2 linked regions of the Daphnia pulex genome follow. The protein of the gene in region 1 interacts with the protein of each later gene in a pairwise test. Links are inferred from orthologs where the notes say so. Each region holds a gene or a part of one and is shown on either strand. Other genes may lie near its edges. The genes, in order: kinesin-like protein KIF7 and smoothened homolog.

Region 1 (4,521 bases):
GGAAATTTTAATCTTTATCGAATTTTAATCTTGATCAACGTCAAGACCTAAGTGATCAGTATTTTATGATAAAACGTTTTTTTATTAACCTTGGAGGGTTGTGATGCTTTACACAAATTTATGGTCGCAAATTATCATTGTCTACGAGCTGATGATTTGTCTGAAGACAATGAATATGTACTGGACTTGGACTTCAGTGTTTCGTCTATACGTCAGTCTAATAGATAGAATTTGTATGAAGTGTTCAACGAAACTGGTATTCAAAAGCGAATGTGGCTTCGATAAATGCACAAGGTATATCTCTTATGTTTTCTTTCATTTTATTATTTTTTACTTGAACAACGTTTCTTATTGTTAACAATTTAGGAATGTACATATCCTCAAATTTTTCACTACGGAATAGGTGATCCTGTTTATATTCCATATGAAAGAACTACTTTTGAACCTCCTGTACTTGTACCTGTATCTGCACTAGAAACTTTGCCTGTTGGAAATTTCAAGGAAGCAGAGGAAGAAGTTTCTTGTATGGATGTTGAAGATGTGGACGATGGCGTAGGGGAAGTAGCTGAAATTGAAGAAGAAGACGTCGTCACCAGTCAACAATTGGAGAATGGCATGGCCAAATTGGTATTTTTTTATTGTTTTTTACTGTGTAATGTCATTATTTCTAATATTAAATTTTTTTAGGTCAACATGTACAATGCTTTTTTCGAACAATCGAGAAAAATGAGTAAGCAGTTCCGCTAAAAGAATGATGACATTCAAAAACTTAAACAGTTTCTTGAAGCTGAAAAGCAAAGGTAATCGTGATTAATTTTTTTCGCAATTTTAATTTCCTAATAATTCCATTTTTTTTTAGATTAATGCAGTGAATGGATGACGAGGAGTGGGAGGTAAAGGCTGTCCTGGACGACGAACAACATGACGGAGTCGAGTATTTTAAAATATGTGTAAGGTGCAAAGCTAAGTAGCAGTTGCCATTAAAAAATGGTAAACTTGGAAATCTAGCCGCTGCGCTTTCTTTTTGAGGTGTTGGTAAAGTGCAGGGTGCAGGTGCAGGTTAGACGGTGGGTAAAGTGCGGAACCCGGAGTGCAGGGTGCGGCGTGCAGGTAGGTGGGTAAAATGCAGGCCCAAATGCTGCTCACAGAAAGTGCAGGTTAGGTTGGTTGAGTGGAGGTTTAGATGTGGCATGAAGTTATTATTTTGACCACTAGGTGGCTGCCATTTTTATATTGAACTTTTTTGGAGTTTTGTATTGAACTTTTTTTGGGTTTTATATTGACTTTTTTGGTTTTTATATTAACTTTTTGTTTTTTATATTACTCTTTTTGGTTTTTATGTAATACTTTTTACCAGTTTTTATATTGAATTTTTTTATTTTTATATTCTTTTCTGTTTTATGTATTGATATTTTGAAAAAAAATTTATATTGAAAAAGTGGCGGTTTTGGGCCCTCATAATTCAGCGCGCAACAGAGTGTAGACAATAAATAAAAAGTACACGCAAATGGATAATAACTGACTGAAGGCAGTCAAACATAAAATTTCACTGCACATTGCACTTTTCCTAACCTGCATTTTAGTGTAGAATTCTAAACCTGTATTTTACCAAGGGAGCCGCTCGGTTGGGGAAAGTGCAGGGCCCCTGCACTCCGGGTTCCGCTTTTTACCCACCGTCCAACCTGCACCTGCACCCTGCACTTTACGGACACCCTTCTTTTTTTGACATTTAAAGTAAAAGGGAAAAGGTGTTGTTGTTTCTGTTTCCTTGAAAATAATAATATACAATTACGTCAGGTGTTGTGTGATCATCTTTTCCTACTGTCAGTTGTGCGATCCGAATTGTTAATTGGTTAATTTATCCAACAAGAACTATTCTTAACTGTATTATCAATGTCGTGATGCTTTTCAGCGCTAGTCAAGACAGGGATTTACAAGCCCGAGTTCAACTCGTAACCCGGGTAAACAAGAACTTTAACCATTTTTTTTTTCATTAAGTAATTGTATTTCAACCCATTGTTCACAATTTTTGAAATTTAACTAGATTCGTTCACTACAAACAACTGATCATGTTTTACCAACACCATATTTTCAAATTGATCCATCCCATGGAACAATTGTGCTGGGAAACAATCGGTTATTTCATTTGGGCAATGTTCTCCCATTTGATTGTCCTCAACAGGCAATATTCAAAGGATATGTCGAGCCAATTGTCAATGCTTGTTTTGATGGTCTGTTAAATAATTTAAGAAAAGAACTGTTATGCAACTTCTTATACTTTTAACGTCATCTTATATGGTATTGGTATGTCAGGTTTCAACATAACTGTAATAGCGTATGGACAAACTGGATCTGGGAAAACATTTACAATATTTGGACCTGGATTGCTCTACACCATGAATGAATCTGATTTTGGTATGGTTCCACGGACTGTTCGTAACTTGTTTTACAAAGCTAAAGTAAACAGTTTGAAGTAATAAATATGTGAAGATTAAATAACTAAATTGGTTTTTGTTTGATATTTTGGGAATTTTTTTTAATTAGGAATACCCCGGAAGACAGATCTCTATCCAAGCAAGCTATTTAGAAATCTATGATGAAGAAATTCATGATCTTCTGAGTATGGAACCCTTTCATGGTGAAATTACTGTACAAGAAGATCAAAATGTATTATTTAAAAAAAAAAAAAATTTAAATGTGAAATTGCTGATAATAGCAATGCTATAATTATTACATATTGAATTTAGGGAGAAATCATCATCACTGGAGCAACACAAATGGAATGTCATACCATTGATGATGTATTTAGCTGTCTTGAAACTGGTCTGGCTTTAAGACATACTGGGCCCATGTTAAATCAACTCTCAAGTAGATCCCATGGAATTTTCACACTCTATATGCAACAGGCATGGACACAAGGTTGACTACTTTTCTTTATTCTTTTGTTGATAATTTTCTCAATGAAACTTGACATATTTTCTTTCAGATGGATGTTTGTATGAAGTGTGTTCTAAACTCCATTTTGTCGACTTGGCTGGATCGGAAAGACTTGGCCTCGGTGTTACCAGTAATCATGGAAACGACGATACACAACTAACAGGATTTCAGGAACCATTTTCCATTAATTCTGGCCTTCTTGCGTTAAGTAATGTCACGGCTGCATTGGGTGATCCTAGAAGAAAAGCTAGCCACGTGCCTTATTGGGATTCGAAATTAACCTACATTCTGAAAGTGTGTTTATTTTGTCAAAAACATTTCTTTTTCACTCTCTCTTTTGGTTACGATCTAACTGTGCATTTAAATTTATTCATGTAGGATTCACTGGGTGGTAATGCCTTCACCTTGATGATTGTGTGCCTTTCTCCTTCGGCTTCTGATTTGGAAGAGACGACGAATACGTTGAAGTTCGCATCAAGGGCAGCAAACATTTGTAATCGCCCAGTAGCGAATGTCCGCCTTACACCGATAGCTAATATTCCTTTGATGGCAATGGGCATAAACGCTCGCCCTTTTAATTTGGCTGGTGTGACGGAACTTGTGTCACCGCCTAACATTCCGCAATTTCAAATGAATGAAACTCCATTTACTTGTCAAGCTAATCCTATGAGGGACAATGAAGAAAATCGATCTGTATATCATGATCCTGAACAAACAGACGGAGATGAAGTTTTTAGGTCAGACTTTTAAATTTATAAATTGAAGCTTTCATTCAGCAATTGCATTTCTCTTTCCCATAGATTACGATTCGCAGCAAGTCAGTGGCAATTACTGGTGACCAACGCCGAAACACTTTTAAATGAGTTGGCTGCATCTGGGTTGCTTGGAAATGACACCAAAAACAAAATAGAATCTTGGCTTTGTTTGAAAGAGGAATACGCAAACTGTATTGATCCCGATTTGTTAACCATCAAACCGCGAAACAGAATTCAGAGTGATACCGATGGCAGTCACCTGACAGACTTGCCTATCACAACAAGCATATTTCACACCAGTGGTGAATCTAAAACACTCCATGTCATTGGTAACTAAATCTTTAGTGTGTGCGTGTGATAGTCGTTTTAACTATTATATTAATTTGTAGAAGAGGTATCCGAGCCCACTCCAACCCGTGAACTTTCTTCTGAACTGAGTAACAGGCATGATCGGTCGTCCATAGACTCGTCATCTGATGTAAGAACGGGAATAATGCAGCATTCTGTTTAACATAAAAAAACGTAAAATGAAAATATCGTATAATTTCTTTCATATTAGGGGTCTCACTTTACGGAGCAACTGGATATATTAAGGCAGCAATTTAGAGAAACAACTGACCGTTTAATCTCAAGCATCGAGTCAATGTATGATAACGCAACGTCTTTAGAATGGGGTGCATCAAATCCTATTGATTTATCTCAACACGCTGAATTTGACCGCGAACAATCAACTAGCAATTATAAAAGTGGGAATACCAGTCCGAAACCTCTAAGAACTGGTCGAAGAGTTAGTATATTCGGTCTTTCAAATGCAGTAGACCAACAGCCT
Region 2 (4,458 bases), on another chromosome or scaffold:
GTTGGACTTGTTCATGTTCCTCCTTTGTAAACAGCGGGGAAGTGCAAGGCAGTCCGCATCCGTCAACTCCTTCAACATAAGCCAAACTATTGTCCGTTTCCACCAGAGGAGACTGGCACTTTGGAGTGATGTTGAATTTCAATTCTCTCACCTCATTCTGCAAGAGAAAAAAGTTTCGTTAGTAATAGCAAATGAATGCACATAATAATTACAAACTTTGCAGCCAGAAGGGAATTTTTCAGTGTCTTCACATCTCATAAAATCTGGCCAGCCATTCCTGTGTTCAAGTTCCACAATTCTGCAAGGATTACGAATAACCTTGCACATTTCCTGTAAGTAAAATGTCATTGAGTGATTGAACATACTTATTCTAATTTTGTATGTACCTGAGAAGGAAGTTCTACTGTTCCATTTTCACATCTTGGCATGTAGAGAGCACACAAAAAGGGTTGAATCACAGCCCAGCATTTGGGAACACTTTTCAAGTTCTGCCAAAACATGAGCTTATCCTAGAAGAAAAACAAAGGATTAGCCAAACCTGTAAAAGGACAATGCAAATCATGTTGCCAAACCTGAACATCATCCTGAGTGTGTGAATCGGTAACCAGTTCCAAAGATGTTTGTGAATATGGTAATTTCGTTGTCAAGCAAATGTTGTTTTTGATTGGCTGACATTTTGCTGTTTTACGGCAGAAATCTTGTCCTTCAGTCCTTCTCAAGTCACTAGTTAAGGCGTGCCGTAGGTAAGGCTGCTCAATCCTCGACCTAGAGCCTGAACTTGTGGGTATGTCATTTAAAACTATTCCTCCTTCAGTGCTACTAGATTTCGGTCTGGCGACAACTGTGCCGATGGACAGAAGAAAGGCCACGGAAACCCACTTCATTCTTCCACACGCCACTGAACTTCAATATTCCTCACCAGTGAACAGTAAGCCGCAAAGCCAGCCACATTTGCGGTGCTCAGAGTTACTTTTTCTTCAGCAAACAACACGACAGAATTTCAATTTTTCCAGCTAATCCAACATGACTGACATTAAAACTTTCGTTGAAGCTTAATATCTTAGTTTTTTCCTTTGAAAAGACGCAACAAGAGACCCAAGGACAAGGACAAAAAACTTTGCTTGCTGCTCCTATGTTTTTAAACGACCCCACACGTCGAACCCAGGTGAAGCCGTTTCTGGCCACATTGTTTTTGTTATGCGGAAATAGAATTGTTTGTCATTTGTTTTTCTTTACAATATATTATTAGCGTTATTCAAACTTACTGCGAAAATAAATGTTAAAAAATTATATATATTTTAAAATAATACGTTAAATTTCTAATTGAGGAAGTTGTGTGTGATTTTAGTTTTTACTGGCTGGATATTGTTTCGTTCAAAGGGCAATTTAGGCGGCTGGTTTTGAAATGAATATTCACGCCATCAGAACATTTGGAAGTTTGCGAAATTTTGGCCATTAACTTGGGTTCGCGAAGAAGCCAACCAAAAGAATTACAGTCGCATTGTAGCATGGTTCCTGCATAAAAAGGTTTTTAATTATTCGTGAAAGCCAAACGTGAATCAATTGAGTTTACCGTGAAGTTGGATATGTCCTGCACCACGGGCGAGTACATTTAGAATCGGCCGAAAAGTAGCTTCCTCCAGTTGGGTGAGATTAGTTTTCTTCAAGTCAATAATCGTGCTAAAGCTAATCCCTAATTTAATGATTGAATTAGCTATTCATCAGCAGAAATTTAATTAAAATCATGTGTTTTCTACCTTGGATAGCATTTGGATGAATACCACTGCTCAAGTCGTTATCACTCAAGTCTACCAGATCAACTCGCGGAGATAGAAAATGCAAATCTCCAGCATCCAACTGTCGCAATTGATTGCCGAAGAGAACAATCTTTCTCAAACTAGGCAAGAAAGCTAGATCAAGAGGTTTGATAGTTGTCAACTTGCCAGAGTTCAACCAGAGCGAGTGAAGTTTAGGCAGTTGCGGTAGATTGGGTGGAACAGAAAACCTATTGCCATAAAGGTGTAGATATTGCAAGTTGGGTAAAGAAGGAAAATCCTAATAAATGCAAATGAGAAATAACCGTGAGTGGTCGTGAATTTAAACCGGCCAAAATCAGAAGGGCATACTATCAATTGATCGACGCTGGCTGTCACTTCAAAGTCGACAAGATTTTCCAAGTCAGCAATTCCTTGAACTGAAAGGACGTTGAGCGACGGCGATGAGTCGAAAGTCAGGACACGAAGTCTATCGACGGAAGCGGCAAATGCGTGTGGCATAATCTTGCTCACGCCAGTCACATTTTGGAACAAAATGACGACAAATGACTTGTCACCAAGGAGATTGGCTTCCAAGTCATCCAAGTGGCTGTGTTTCACCGTCAAATGCCAGAGTTGATTAACAGGGTACGGCGGTTCAAAGATTTTCATTAATTGTTGGACACTTTGTAGGTTAGCACAAACCATGGAGACGACATTGTTCTCGGTTTGGCATTGACACGGCGTAATTAGACGAGGATCGGGACATGTTGCAATTATTCCAGTCACGAATGTGGAAATGATAATAATCGACTGGAAAATGTTCCAGCGGCGCACAATTGATTCAACCAGATCCGTTTTCATCATTGTCAGAGATGCGACTGAAACTTTTTCGTGAGTCTTATTCGTTTTGTGCTGGTGTTATTCAAATCAGGTTTCTCCCTCCTCTTTTCTTCTTCTTCTTCCTTTTCTTCTCCGCTTGTGACTGGCCATTTAAAACACGGGTAGTGATTATACATAAGCCCTTTAGCGGCGAGCGTGTGCGCAACTTTGTAGGCCATAAGGTCACCTTCACCATTCGATCCATCATTATAAGAATGAGTGCACGCACGGTTTCCACTTCCTTATTACTTTGCTCCACTACTCTATAATTGTCCAGGTCTATTGATTATTAAACGAATCCTAAATAAAACTGTGGAAAAAACAAAACAGTAATTTATTCAACAACATTGCGAAGAACTCGAAAGATTCTGTTCAGCCCTATCCATATTTTTGCTTTGAAATCTGTCACAATTTTTTTTCTTTTGATAAGAATCGTTTGTTAAAATAAAATAATTATATCAATTTTATTTCGAAAATGACCTATTTGTTGGGTATGGAAGATGAACCTATCGGTAAAGACGATAATGCAATAATTAACTTTCAAGTCAACAAAGTTGGGGGAAAACCGGTAAATCCTTACTTTTTTCATCATAAATTTACTGATAATAACAAATAATTTTGTATCCTAGAATTGGGCAAGTGGAGACTACCCAAATCCTGGTTGTAAATTGTGCAACAGAAAGATGTTACTTGCTGTTCAAATTTATGCACCTCTAGATGATTCCCCGAATCACAGAACATTATACCAATTTTGTTGCCTGGCTCCTCAATGCCACAGCAAAAAGGAAGGATGGATTTGTTTACGGGATGAAGTAGCTGATACATCTACCACTTTAACTTCTGCCAAAGTACAAACAGCAACTACAGCCTCAACCACAACTTGGATTGATGATGCTGACGACTGGGGTGATGACGAAAATATGGAGAGTGGCACTGGGACCCCCACCACTATCAATGACAGACCTGATGAAGTTACTGTGCATGAACTTGAAATTGGCTCCCTAACAATCCAGAACATGGACAGTTCTAGCCCTGAACATCCTGCACCATCAAACAGTGCTGATACTTGTGATAATATGATGAATGTCCCTACAGCGGAAGTAGAAGGTGTTGAAGAATCTGTTCTGTTAGATGATCTACCTCCTCAGCCAACTGTTGACATCAGAACTTTCTTTGCACCTCCATCTGCTCCTATTCCCGATTTTTCTGGCTCTGAATTCTCAAGCTTTTATCTCAATGTGGTTGAAGAGCAATACGCTGCTGTACTCTCCGATCAAAAGTTGGACGAGCGAGCCAAACAACTTTGGGAAGAATACCAACGCCGGGAAAATTGCGACTTGAAACAAATGCAGAAGAGCAGTAAAAGTACTCCAGGTCGAGTAGACGAAGTGTACGAGAAAGTTCCCCCTAGTCACGGCGATCGATTGGTACACAAGTTCGTCACTCAAGTGCAGGCCTGTCCCGAGCAGCTGATCCGCTATAATCGTGGAGCAAGTAACCCACTTCTACTCAAGCAGCTCGCCAAAGAAGACCCGGTCCTTTTTAAGTGCCAACATTGTAATGCTACCCTTGTCTTCGAAATGCAGCTGATGCCCCATCTTGGTCAACGCTTGACAATAGAAGATTCTGCAGCGCAAACGCCTGGCATCGAATTGGACACAGTTTTAATCTATTCTTGTTCTAAAAGTTGTTGGAACGGAGTTCCGCGTGAAGAATACTTGATTGTTCAAACGGAAATATATTAAAGCCTTATAGTTGACCAACATTTTTAGCATCGATGACTCTAGGTGTACATAACCATGTAAAATGTCTGATTTTCTAG

What was found.
Region 2: the proteins of kinesin-like protein KIF7 (region 1) and smoothened homolog interact in binary tests that used the Drosophila melanogaster proteins (3 or more experiments, as listed by UniProt). The link is inferred for Daphnia pulex from reciprocal best matches to the Drosophila melanogaster genes cos and smo.

The regions. Positions count from the first base shown.
Region 1 is NC_060028.1:3,196,930-3,201,450, forward strand, and holds the start of kinesin-like protein KIF7, read left to right. Parts: upstream 1-1,697; 5' UTR 1,698-1,901; coding exon 1,902-1,961; intron 1,962-2,044; coding exon 2,045-2,231; intron 2,232-2,313; coding exon 2,314-2,459; intron 2,460-2,544; coding exon 2,545-2,667; intron 2,668-2,747; coding exon 2,748-2,919; intron 2,920-2,986; coding exon 2,987-3,231; intron 3,232-3,315; coding exon 3,316-3,674; intron 3,675-3,737; coding exon 3,738-4,021; intron 4,022-4,081; coding exon 4,082-4,170; intron 4,171-4,251; coding exon 4,252-4,521. UniProt on the Drosophila melanogaster protein: Regulates cubitus interruptus (ci) processing by recruiting multiple kinases to promote its efficient phosphorylation.
Region 2 is NC_060027.1:3,194,229-3,198,686, reverse strand, and holds the start of smoothened homolog, read right to left. Parts: upstream 2,812-4,458; 5' UTR 2,127-2,811; intron 2,056-2,126; 5' UTR 1,758-2,055; intron 1,694-1,757; 5' UTR 1,574-1,693; intron 1,516-1,573; 5' UTR 885-1,515; coding exon 573-884; intron 510-572; coding exon 387-509; intron 331-386; coding exon 217-330; intron 158-216; coding exon 1-157. Other genes in the region: programmed cell death protein 2-like, read left to right, coding at 3,112-3,204, 3,266-4,381. UniProt on the Drosophila melanogaster protein: Segment polarity protein required for correct patterning of every segment. G protein-coupled receptor which associates with the patched protein (ptc) to transduce the hedgehog (hh) signal through the activation of an inhibitory G-protein.